Schizosaccharomyces pombe: one gene and its partners. Changing the gene in region 1 together with any one later gene gives a genetic interaction. Each region holds a gene or a part of one and is shown on either strand. Other genes may lie near its edges.

Region 1 (3,759 bases):
TCAATATATTTAGTTCGTTCTTTACACTTCAGTGCATTTGGTTAGTTAATAATTTCTAGTCAAACATTTGCTTTACTTTTAATTCATGTGTATAATTAATTGTTTATTTTTACTTGATCATTTTTTCTTTTGTCGCCAGTAAATTATGTAGAGTGGAAAAACAATGTTTGGTATTTGGAGGATATGGAAAACATAATCAAATATTGAAGAAAATCAGTTTGTACTATCACAGATATGCCTTACGATAATATACATAGATTCCCATCAAGCATATTCATATATACATGATAAAAGCCAAAAGAGTCGGAATATATTAAAAGTAAACGTTTCACTTACTATTCGACCTTTTTAATCATAACTATGCAGTTGCGCGTATAATCTTCATCGGTAAACTTATCATTTCATGGCTTTTTGGATATATGTGCACTAAAGCTTTTGGTAATCAATTGTACCTTCAAGTTTCTTCAGGTCAGCAACCTTACGAGCTGCGGACATTAAATCGGACTGAATGACATAGTCGCGATCTTCTTTAATGGCTATGAATCCTGCTTCTGTAACCACATTCCGCAAGTCAGCACCATTTGTTCCATCTGTCAGTTTAACCAATGCTTCATAGTCAATTTCGCCTTGTTTAGAGACTTTTTCTAAATGGATTTTCAAAATCTCCATACGACCAACTTCGTTTGGTAGGGGAATTTCAATTTTACGATCTAGACGACCAGGACGAAGCAAGGCAGGATCTAGAGTATCAGGACGATTTGTCGCCATGATAATTTTCGTTTGGCCAAGGTAATCGAAACCATCCATCTGATTCAATAATTCCATCAATGTACGCTGAATTTCACGATCAGCAGATGTTCCTTCAGAGAATCTTCTACCACCAATAGCATCAATTTCGTCCATAAAAATAACACATGGCTCATGCTCTTTTGCATAGCCAAACATTTCACGAATTATTCTAGCAGATTCTCCAATATATTTATCAACGATAGCACTGGAAACTACTTTTAAAAAGTTAACACCTAAAGATGCCGCCACGGCACGAGCTAAAAGAGTTTTACCAGTACCAGGAGGACCATAGAGCAAAACACCTTTTGGTGGCTTAATTCCCACACGAAGGAATAATTCCGGATTCTTTAAAGGTAGTTCAATAACTTCACGCAATTCACGAATTTGTTCATTCAAGCCACCGACACCGGCGAAAGAAATGTCACCAGGGTCTTCAATTGACATATTGTAAACGAGAGGATCAACCTCACGAGGAAGAATACGCATAATGGTTAACGTGGTCATATCTAAAGATACACGAACGCCTTGAACCAAATGAGATTGGTCGACATTGTTTCTGCAACCTACAACGTAACGTGGACCAGAGCTAGAATAGGTTAGGGAAACAGAAAATAATGAAAGGAAATAAAAAATAGTGTACTAATGCAACGATAGATTTGTAAAAAGAGAAGGATGACTATACGTGAGGTATCTACTTTCCCAACGATTTGCTATGAAACCAGTAAACAGAGTGTTTCATGCTTCCGGTTATAGATTTTTATACCGTGTGCGCATTTCAAAAAGAATTTTTGCTGGATGGAGAGGTTAGAACCAAACAGTTTTTGAACACAGATTTTGCCCACTGAACTTATCTTTAAAAAAAAAAAGGAACGGGCAAATGATTATATGCATTTAAACATGGTTCCCATTCATACGCCACAAAAAATTCTTTATGAAGGAATTCAACGCCCAACATATGCATTACTAATAATAAGGTCTTCACATCCATTTTCACATTTCACTTGTATATATCCTCCACGTAAAGCAAACAATCTCCCAAAAGTTTGAGTAATTACTTACCTAGCTTTTACAATGAATCTTTCAGAATCAAGTTGTTTCAATACTTCTCCAATAATCTGACCAACCGACTGCAAGCTTTTTATATCATCCTCTGTTTTATCATATTTCTTGACTAGATCTCGATTTCCAAAACGCAAATCCTTCAGTTTTGAATCCCATTCTCGATGTTGTAATAAATAGGATTTATATTTCTCTAAAGCAGTGTCTCTTTCCGACATGGTTATTTCGCAAAAGATGTGTTAGTTCTGGTCAGAACATACTAGCAAATGGGAATCCAATTACTCGGTATTTTACGTTCTTAGAAATTATTAAAACTTCACTAAAGTCGTTTTCGTTAAATAAGCATTGCGAATTTCAGCGGAATCTGTTCTTGCGTAAGATTATATTTTTCTATAATAGCAGTATGATTACTAGACTACAGTTTTCTTTAAAAGAATATTTTGAAGTTTGAATTGAGTATCTTTTCAGTTTTGCAAGTTCATGCTGAAACCCCAACCGAAAATGCATTATTATTTTGTTTAAACTTCTCATATTTAAGTTTTCTCGAAACCAGAGGTATTACACTCCTGTCGCTATCCGTAAAAACAAAAACTTGTTGAGCAAACATCAAACTTTGAAGATGCTAGAATTACTGTTAATCTCAAAATTAACGAACGTTTTCTGCTTTAAAAAATTTCATCCTTCGTAAAATTTTGGGTACTGCTATGTCAACAATTTGGTAGTTGCTTCAAGTCATTCTGTTAACAAAAATTATGCTTAATCCGCCAAAACTTGGTCTCTTAAGTTGAACAATCCAATTCAATTGACCACTTGTGTCAGAATATGATTGTCAATTAATATCATAGTTCCTACAACTAAATTTTCTAAACATATACACGTCTAACTTTTTCTTACACAAAAAGCTAGATTGCTTGTAAAACGGAACGAACAATTAACCGAATAAACGAAACTCAATATGTATAAATTAACGCAAACTTGACTAAAGATAGAGAAGATAGTTCTCGACTTCGCCAACTTTAAACAAACAAATCTTAAAGCAAGGTAAAGTCGAAAATACGATTTTATAAATAAATATATAAAAGAAAGTAGGATAATAAAATATTAACAAACGAGGTAGAAAACAAGGGAATGGTTCTAAAGGTTCGTTTGATTTTGCGATTAATCATGAAACCGGTCATCACGTATCGACCAAAAGCTAATGGAATTTTAAAATGTAAGAGAAGGGAAACAAAATGATAAAAAAGGGAAAGAAGTAAAAATCATTAAAATGCCAGGTATATATCGGCGAAAAGAAATAAATATACGGCACACTTGCGATATACCTTGATTGACTATATGATGCTACGAAGAGCATTGCTAAGTAAATGTGCAAGGAACCCTTGCACGAATTGCGGTTCTTGAAGCAGTTCGAAAATAATTTTTAGGCTTTCCTCGGAGGTTGACTGTCCAAGCATAAGAGTAAAATTCTCAGATAAAGCGTTTTCAACAAGGGTTTTTTCGGCTCGTAATCTCAAACTTTCATCGCTTTCCTCGTCACAAAAAACTGAAACAGGGTCTTCAGGAACAGATTTGCTAGCCTCTTCGAAAAGGGAATCGGCTTCGCTATCAAAGGAAATTTTAGATTCAGTTGAACGTCTGTGTGCCCTTGTCGAATGTGATTCCATGGCTTTTTTTTCGTCGGGCCATACGTTTAAGATTAACGAAGTTAATAAATCTCCCACTAGTTGAGTGTTTGAAAGCTTGTCATAAATTTGGTTCTTTAACATTCGTTCAACTTGAGCCGAGAACCTCCCAGGACCATGCAATACTGTCGTCTTCATAATCGTTAAAACTGATTTTCGAAAAAACCACAACTTGGAATTCAGAGAGCAAAGCTCATCAACCAGAGCAAATCCCCCGCTGATAATTTCT
Region 2 (3,759 bases), on another chromosome or scaffold:
GCCACTTTTGATGTAAGGGTTTTATATGTATCAAAACGACGAGACCAATAATCGTGTATACGAAAAAAATAACAAAAAAGCTCACACAAATGCATATACATATCAAGCTTTTTAACATCTAAACTCGATACATTTTCCAGCTCCAATAAAGGAGCAGCAAGCATATTAAAAGAGTTATCATAAAAATTTTCAATAAAATTAATTCCAATAATGTTATCGGTTTTATTTCGAACATTTCCATCAGCATTTCTGTAAGGATTATTGTATGCATAGCTACCAGGTAAACTTAGTAGCATTTTAAAAGCTTCAGAAATTTGAGCAAGTACTCCAGGATTTGATTCTTTATGCAAAATGTTAATTAAATTGGAAAGCAACGAATGTTGGGAAACGTGAGCATTGCTCAATGAAGAAGAAGCGTCCTTGCGATCTTGATCAAACTTTTGCCAAACGATGGCAGGTTCATGATCAATAATAGACACCAAAATATCGGAACCAGCATTTCGAACGGAATTGTTCTCATGTGACATTGCATAATCCAAAGCTTTCAGAAGATTAAATTTAACGAAAGTAGCAAATAATGCAGAGCAGGACTGGAATTGTAGCCCTTTAGCGATGTTGCAAACCTGCTGAATAAAGAATATACCGTCTTGCTTGCGTTGATCATCCTCGCCTTCATTCACATAAATGCTAAACAGTTCATGTAAAAATTTTTCATTTGTTTGAAGGTATTGAATAATATCAGCCTGGTTAAAGAAGATAAATGAATTTAGCACCGAAAAGGAGGGTTCGTCAACAATCCTTGAAACGACAACATCCCTTAGATACTGAAGCTTAAATGTCTGGTGAATTTTTGCAAGAATCCGTGGATCCTGAATGGGAACCACCTGCTTAAACTTTTTGGAATCCATTAAATATTCCCGATGGTTCGCTTTGATATTGGGGAATTCCGGATCGTATTCGAGAATACCAGCTACACACATTAGCTTTTCATCATTAGAGAACAACGATTCGAGTAAAGGGGCGTCGTTCAATTGCACTGACAGCGATTAGCAAGGATTTAACGAATCTAAAAAGTATAAAGTAGATTAACATACCAAAGCTTTTTATTATGGAACACAATCGATGAAGGTCATCTGTATTCTCTAGATCCTCACACAGAGGAAAAAGTTCAATAAGTCTATCAATATAATTTTCATTTGAAACATAACGAACCAAACTATCTCTTGATTGAATAGACTGCATATATCCATATACTGCTTCTTCAATTTCTTTTAAATTAGCAAGCTCTGGGGCTGGAAGATCGACCGTGTTTAGGTAGTTTTCATTAAGCGCCCCCTCATCCGTCAATATATCATCGTTGGAGTAACTTCTAGTTACCGATGATATTGCCTTTTGAACATTTGCTAAAAACATCCACATGTCTATACAACCGCTAGATTCTTGAAAGCTTAAAGCAAGATCAGTACCATTCAATTCTTGCCAGACTATGAGAGTTTCTTCTTGACGGCTGTATATATCTTCCGCAATCAATTGTGTTTTCAAAAGGATGGTTTCATTATCAGCTTCTGAACGCACAATGAAATAAGCCAACGGTCCCTCTATTTTTCCATCGCAATAACCGGTGCCACAGTCTACCCAGTTTTCATCTTCCATTTCGTACACTTTTACACGTCTGGGAATCGATGGCACTTCGATCTTCTGCAATGCAGCTGCAATTGCTTCGTCTAATTCCTCTTCTTCATTTTCTCCATCTGAAATTTCATCAATATTATTATTTAAATCTTCCTCTTCCTTCGTAGAATCCATTTCTACGGCGGATTAAGGGTAGACGTCAGCTTCGAATTTACGACGTTGGCGTTCGTCACCAAATTTTCAAAAGTGAAGACGAAATTCAAACGTGGTGGTGAATGAATGCAATACCGTAGATTGCACCAAGATTGTAATTATTAATAAATGTATTTCTCATTAAATGGCAATGCCGCTTTACTTAATTATTTGGTTTGCCTAAAATATAACAAATAGATTTGTTAAGCAGTGTACTATGTATATTTCACGTGCATAATTTTGAAGTGTTATGGCAGAATTATGTTCTTTATAGAGTCAAATAACTATTATATACGTGATCGTGGTGCTTTCAGTCACTATTTTTCATTGTAATTCGGTATCTGTTTACAACAATATCATTAACGGACGTTATGCATTTTAACGATGAGTACTTCACCGCTCGGTGTATATGCTGTAATCAATCCTTATATCGAGTTGTGTTTTAAACGTTTTATACTGTCTACAATTAGCATTTAAATCTTTTCGAAATAGTAAATAAACTAAATATGAATATAAATAAAGTTAATTATTGTCTAAACACATGTGTAGCCTCGTCAAATCAATTTTTTGCAAGTCAATCATGAGGCTCAGGGTACATTTGTAAAGTAATAGTTAATTTTTAAGTACAAACTAATGGTATTTATACCGATATATATATTGAAAGCTGCTAAAGCTTCGCTAGATATTCAAGTACTCTAGCAAATGCATCAATATAAATACAGTTTTTTTGCTTTTACTAAGTTTTATTGTTAAAGCGTAATACGAGAAATTTGCCAAATGAGAACACGAATTGAATTGATATAATTCCAGAAATAAAAATTATGTATTCAAGACGATGACTGTTGCGATATGCATGCTTACGAGTTTATCGATATATAAAAGACAAAGAGAGTTGAGCTTACCAAAACATATACTGATCCTTCATGGAGAAAAAACAAGATAACGAGGTGGAATTATATTCAATTGATTTAAAAAATAGAAATGAAAGTGCAAAAATAAAGCTTGCTTATGCGAAAGCGTTAGAGGAAAGCATTCTTTGTGAAACACGAAAAATCGAACAAGAAATTAAAGACCAAGTGGTTCAAAAGGAAAATAAAACATATTTTAATAACAAATTTGATAATCGATATAAATTACGCGACTTGGAAAAAAATTTAGCGGAGGAGGAGGTGAGAATTACGGAGATGCTTACTATTCAACGTCAAGACATTGCAATTGAAAGAAGGAAGAACACAAATTGCTTCAGTGAGTCTTCTCAAGTAGATCAATATTCAGTTACTGAAACCAATCTACAATATGCTACTAACATTGGCTTAAACCTTCTGCAACAGTTGCGGTATTTAAGGCTGCAACTGTCAGAGAAAGAAGATTTGCATAAAAAGTTGTCAGTGGATAATGCCCATTTAATCAAGCAACTTGATCTACTTTCTTCAAACATGAAAACACTTATGAAAGAGAAGACTAAGGTGCAAGGACAAAGGGATTTGCTTGAACAAAGACTACAAGGATTAATGAAAAAATTGACAGAAGTAGAGTCTTTGACCGTTTCACTTAACGATGAGAAGAACAAACTGACATTGGAATTAACAAATTTAAGAATTTGCCTTCACGAGCTTCAACTGAATGCCGAAAAAGGCGAAACTATAGATGAAAGTGAAGATTCTAAAAATACTTTGGTAACTGAGGATGAAAACGACGATTCTGTATTTTTGGAGTCTTCCTCGGATAAGTATTTTGATAGTTCATCTTTTGATGCGGAGCAAGAAGAGAAACACGATTTTCCAATAGATCCTTTTTTGTCGTTGGAATCCAATGTACAAACTTCGGTATCTCAATCATCGGCCGTTCTCAAATCCATCAATTTAGCAAAACAGGAGTTAGTGAGTGTAAATCATTTGGTAGCTGACGATACTAAAACACCGTCTCCAAATTTAT
Region 3 (3,591 bases), on another chromosome or scaffold:
TTGAGGTTTGGTAGCTAATTTTTTATCACTTGAGACTAAAAAATAGTACGCAACGTAAACAGTAGCTATAAGAAATGCCCATCTAAAGAAAGCCTCCTCATAACCCATTCTTTATCTCAATGTGGAATAGTGTAAGTAGAGCAACCAAATGGCAGTCCAAGCAAGCGCCATAATGTATCAGGGAATGCACAATGCTACTTAACGATCCTTGATATATAGCACTATATGTTAAAAAATGTAAACAATAAGAAAATGTGATTTCAATAACAAAAGGTAATTATATTGTTTAACATTGAACACATTTGACAAAAAAAACTAATGTACTTGATCACACTACTAATGCTATTCTAAATTCGCTAAAGACTTGTCGCCAATAAAATTAATACACCAACGTATTCGCTTAAAAAGTATAATTAAAAAAAAAAATTGTTAAAATTTATTTATCATTATAGTAACTCTGATTTTTACTTTTTTAACAAAACCACCAATAATGATTTTTGAAGCTTACTAGTACCTTAAATATTTTGTTCTATTAGGGGTGTGTTAGTAGTTTTGAGCAGAATTGAAATTCGAAATATCAATATATTTATAATTATGTAGGTGTTTTTTTACAAATATAAAAAAGAATTAAAAATAACTTATGACTTTTTAGAAAATATTCCGGTTAATTATTTTTTTGAAGATTAAACACAATCGTAAGTGCTCCAACTAACTTTTACATGGAAATAATTAAATCGACTTTCTTGAGCTAGTGCCTACAATCCTTTAACAACATGCTTTCAAAGCCCTGGTGCACTGTTTAACAGTTTCACATTTTAAGGTATGTTAAATCGTTCAATTGAGAATAGAAATTTGCCTTCAAAATTCTGTACTTAGTGAAAGAAGATGCACTTGTTTACAATAAATAAATATTTAAAAAAATAAAAAGCAATCTTCCAGTTCTCAAAGAGGAATATAAGTGTCTTTGAATTGCGTTCTTTATTATTAATAAATTGGCTTTCGTTTAAGAAATCGAAGCAGCAAATTATTACGTTAAAAGTCAGTCAAAATTTGTCGTGCATATTTGTTAAAAATTCAAAAACTCTTTTGTTCTCCTTTTGAAGAATGTTTATCAAATGTTTATTTTTCTCGTTTTCCTCTAATATTGCATCCAATTCATCAATTGAAACATATTTACGTTCATGCAACAGATTACGAATAAAAAGCAGCTGATTTTGAATTTTTGCATCAAGAAGGATAGCATTCAGTTCACATACTTCAAACGGGTTCGAGTTAGGACGTTCGTATAAAGGACTTAACATCTCTACCAGTGAATTCAAGGTACCACTTAAACATGTCAAAAGTGTTCCGTTACTTTTTTTCAATTCGTTATTTAATCCTTTTAACAATTGAAATTCATCGTTATTCACCCTACTGTTAAGGAAATTGGAATTTTCATCATTCTGTTGCAAAAATGAAGCGGTCTCAGGTAGTATGGGGGCATTTGTGTTTTGCTTAATAGGCTCTTTAACGATTAACATACTATTTAGGTTTCTTCCTTTTCGAGCTTTCACTAGTCCATAGTTACCTTTCAAAGTCTCCATTTGTTGCTCATGCTGGCGTAATGAAACAGATAATTGATTCTTTAATGCCTTCAAAGTCAATTCATTTTTAGCATTTACATCTTTCAAACCTTTATTTTGTGTAATTAATTCAGCTTGATCTCTTTCCAGTGTTCTAACTTTATTCAGTTGCAATTGACATTCGTTTTGATAAAGCTCCAACTCATTTTTGAGCCGTTTTATTGTATTGTTATCTCTTTGCTTTTCATATTCATTATTTTTAATAGCATCAAGAAGAGATTCCTTTTCTAAACGTTCTTCGTCAGTTGCTCTTAATAAACGATATATGATGTTCACTATGTTGCAATTATCACGAATGTCATGAGAAAGGCGTAACTTTTCAGCTTGTATTACTCCTTTGGAAAATAAAGATTTGTTAATATACAAAAGGCTTTCTTCTATATTGCTGGGGTTGCAAAAAACAATGGGGGTGGTCATCTTCCAATGTTTACACTTATTAATGCGGTGGTGAAGAAATAATGTAGAACATCCTTATAAAAATCATCTATTGCATAGAACTTAAAACAGATTGATTATTAACTACAAAGAATCTAATATTATTTTTAATTCATAAACATTAAAAAAAAAAAAAAGTAAGCCGGAAAGCCAAAGAGGTATAAATACCGATTTTCCCAACATTTCTAAATTGTATGCACTAATAAGCCATAACAGCTGACCAATAATCCACAGAGACAGACAAATAAGTCCCTTCTTACTTAAAAGCTTAGAGTTTGGTAAAACCAGAGGTAGAAATACTAGATACCACATAAAATACTAAGTTGTTAGTATAATCCGTCATTCTTCTAATTTCAAACTTAACATACCTGACTGGTACAAACCTTATTAAAGGTTACAAATGCAAATGTTTGGGCAAATAGAGTCCCAGGTAAATTCTTTTTTCCAAAGACCAAGGGTATTAGCATGCACAAACTTAACTGCGGCAGAAATGCAAATAAAGAAGACGCTTTTGCTCCGAAAGATGATTCATAGTATAAGTTTAAATGATGTAGAGAGAAATTATGTCGATGATCTGTTCTACCAAAGTGGTAAAGATATGTATGTTCAAGGAATGGAGACCCGTAAAGGTAATACATCAATAAATTACATATCGTAAACATAAACAAAGAACCAACAACAATCTTTAACTGATTAATCGATAATAAAGATAGAAATTTTTCCATGAAAGTGGACCCTTTTTTTGGTTTTGAAAAATATACTAAGAAAGCAATCCCATACATAAATGGGTAAATTTTAAAATGCACAGAAAACCCAAGTATTAGGCTAGCTAGCCAAACTGATTTTTTTTCGATCAAATACAACAAAGCAATGCTCAATATACCAAGAATGGCTTCACAATTCCCTCGAGTACTGATTATGGCGACGAATGGGTTCAATATCCAGAAGGAAGAGTAAATTAACGACCTTTTGTAAGATATCCTCCTAGATAAGAGCTTAATCATAAGCCACCCAGCAATTAAGTCTGATATTGAAAACAAATATTTACCCCACGACGGAAATCCGTATTGAGTAGGAAGAAGCAAAATTGCCAACATTGGAGTATAGCGATATGTGTCACGCATATACGGTGACATTCCTATGGAGACATATTTTGATGCGTCCGAAAACACGAAATAATCGATGTCCGTAAATTTAAGGGCAGATCGTCTATCATGCCAAATACCATAATTCAACAATACAAGTCTCATCAATAGACCCAATAAAAGTAAAAGAAATGCATCAGTAGGCGCATATAGGAGATATAAACTACTTTCACGTAATTTGGTAATCATATTTTCACGACTATTGTACTTTGACAGTAATTTCATAGCTTTTGCATAATGGATAAGAGCTTCACGAGCACTTGTATTGAATAGACTGCAAACTTTCACATCCAAATCAATGAGATATTTTTCATCCTGGGTTAAACGATATTGCAAGCAAGATTGAATAAAGCACTGAATTCGCAAATATTCTTTATCTGAGACACTAG

Evidence for each region.
Region 2: mutations in rpt4 (region 1) and psy2 together harm fitness more than expected from each alone (negative genetic interaction), as found in Schizosaccharomyces pombe (one large-scale study listed by BioGRID).
Region 3: mutations in rpt4 (region 1) and msd1 together harm fitness more than expected from each alone (negative genetic interaction), as found in Schizosaccharomyces pombe (one large-scale study listed by BioGRID).

Annotation. Positions count from the first base shown.
Region 1 is NC_003421.2:403,919-407,677, reverse strand, and holds rpt4 (proteasome regulatory subunit Rpt4), read right to left. Parts: upstream 2,078-3,759; 5' UTR 2,067-2,077; coding exon 1,849-2,066; exon of another isoform or gene 1,795-1,848; intron 1,427-1,794; exon of another isoform or gene 1,376-1,426; coding exon 427-1,375; 3' UTR 83-426; downstream 1-82. Other genes in the region: mug122 (PX/PXA domain protein), read right to left, coding at 3,180-3,759.
Region 2 is NC_003423.3:895,328-899,086, forward strand, and holds the start of psy2 (serine/threonine protein phosphatase PP4 regulatory subunit 3 Psy2), read right to left. Parts: upstream 2,088-3,759; 5' UTR 1,807-2,087; coding exon 1,095-1,806; intron 1,037-1,094; coding exon 1-1,036. Other genes in the region: dynein-anchoring factor Num1, read left to right, coding at 2,748-3,759.
Region 3 is NC_003423.3:3,049,028-3,052,618, reverse strand, and holds msd1 (microtubule-anchoring factor Msd1), read right to left. Parts: upstream 2,069-3,591; 5' UTR 2,040-2,068; coding exon 1,044-2,039; 3' UTR 660-1,043; downstream 1-659. Other genes in the region: SPOM_SPBC13E7.07 (uncharacterized protein), read right to left, coding at 1-108; gpi14 (pig-M family mannosyltransferase), read right to left, coding at 2,142-2,375, 2,426-3,591. UniProt on the Schizosaccharomyces pombe protein: Has a role in meiosis.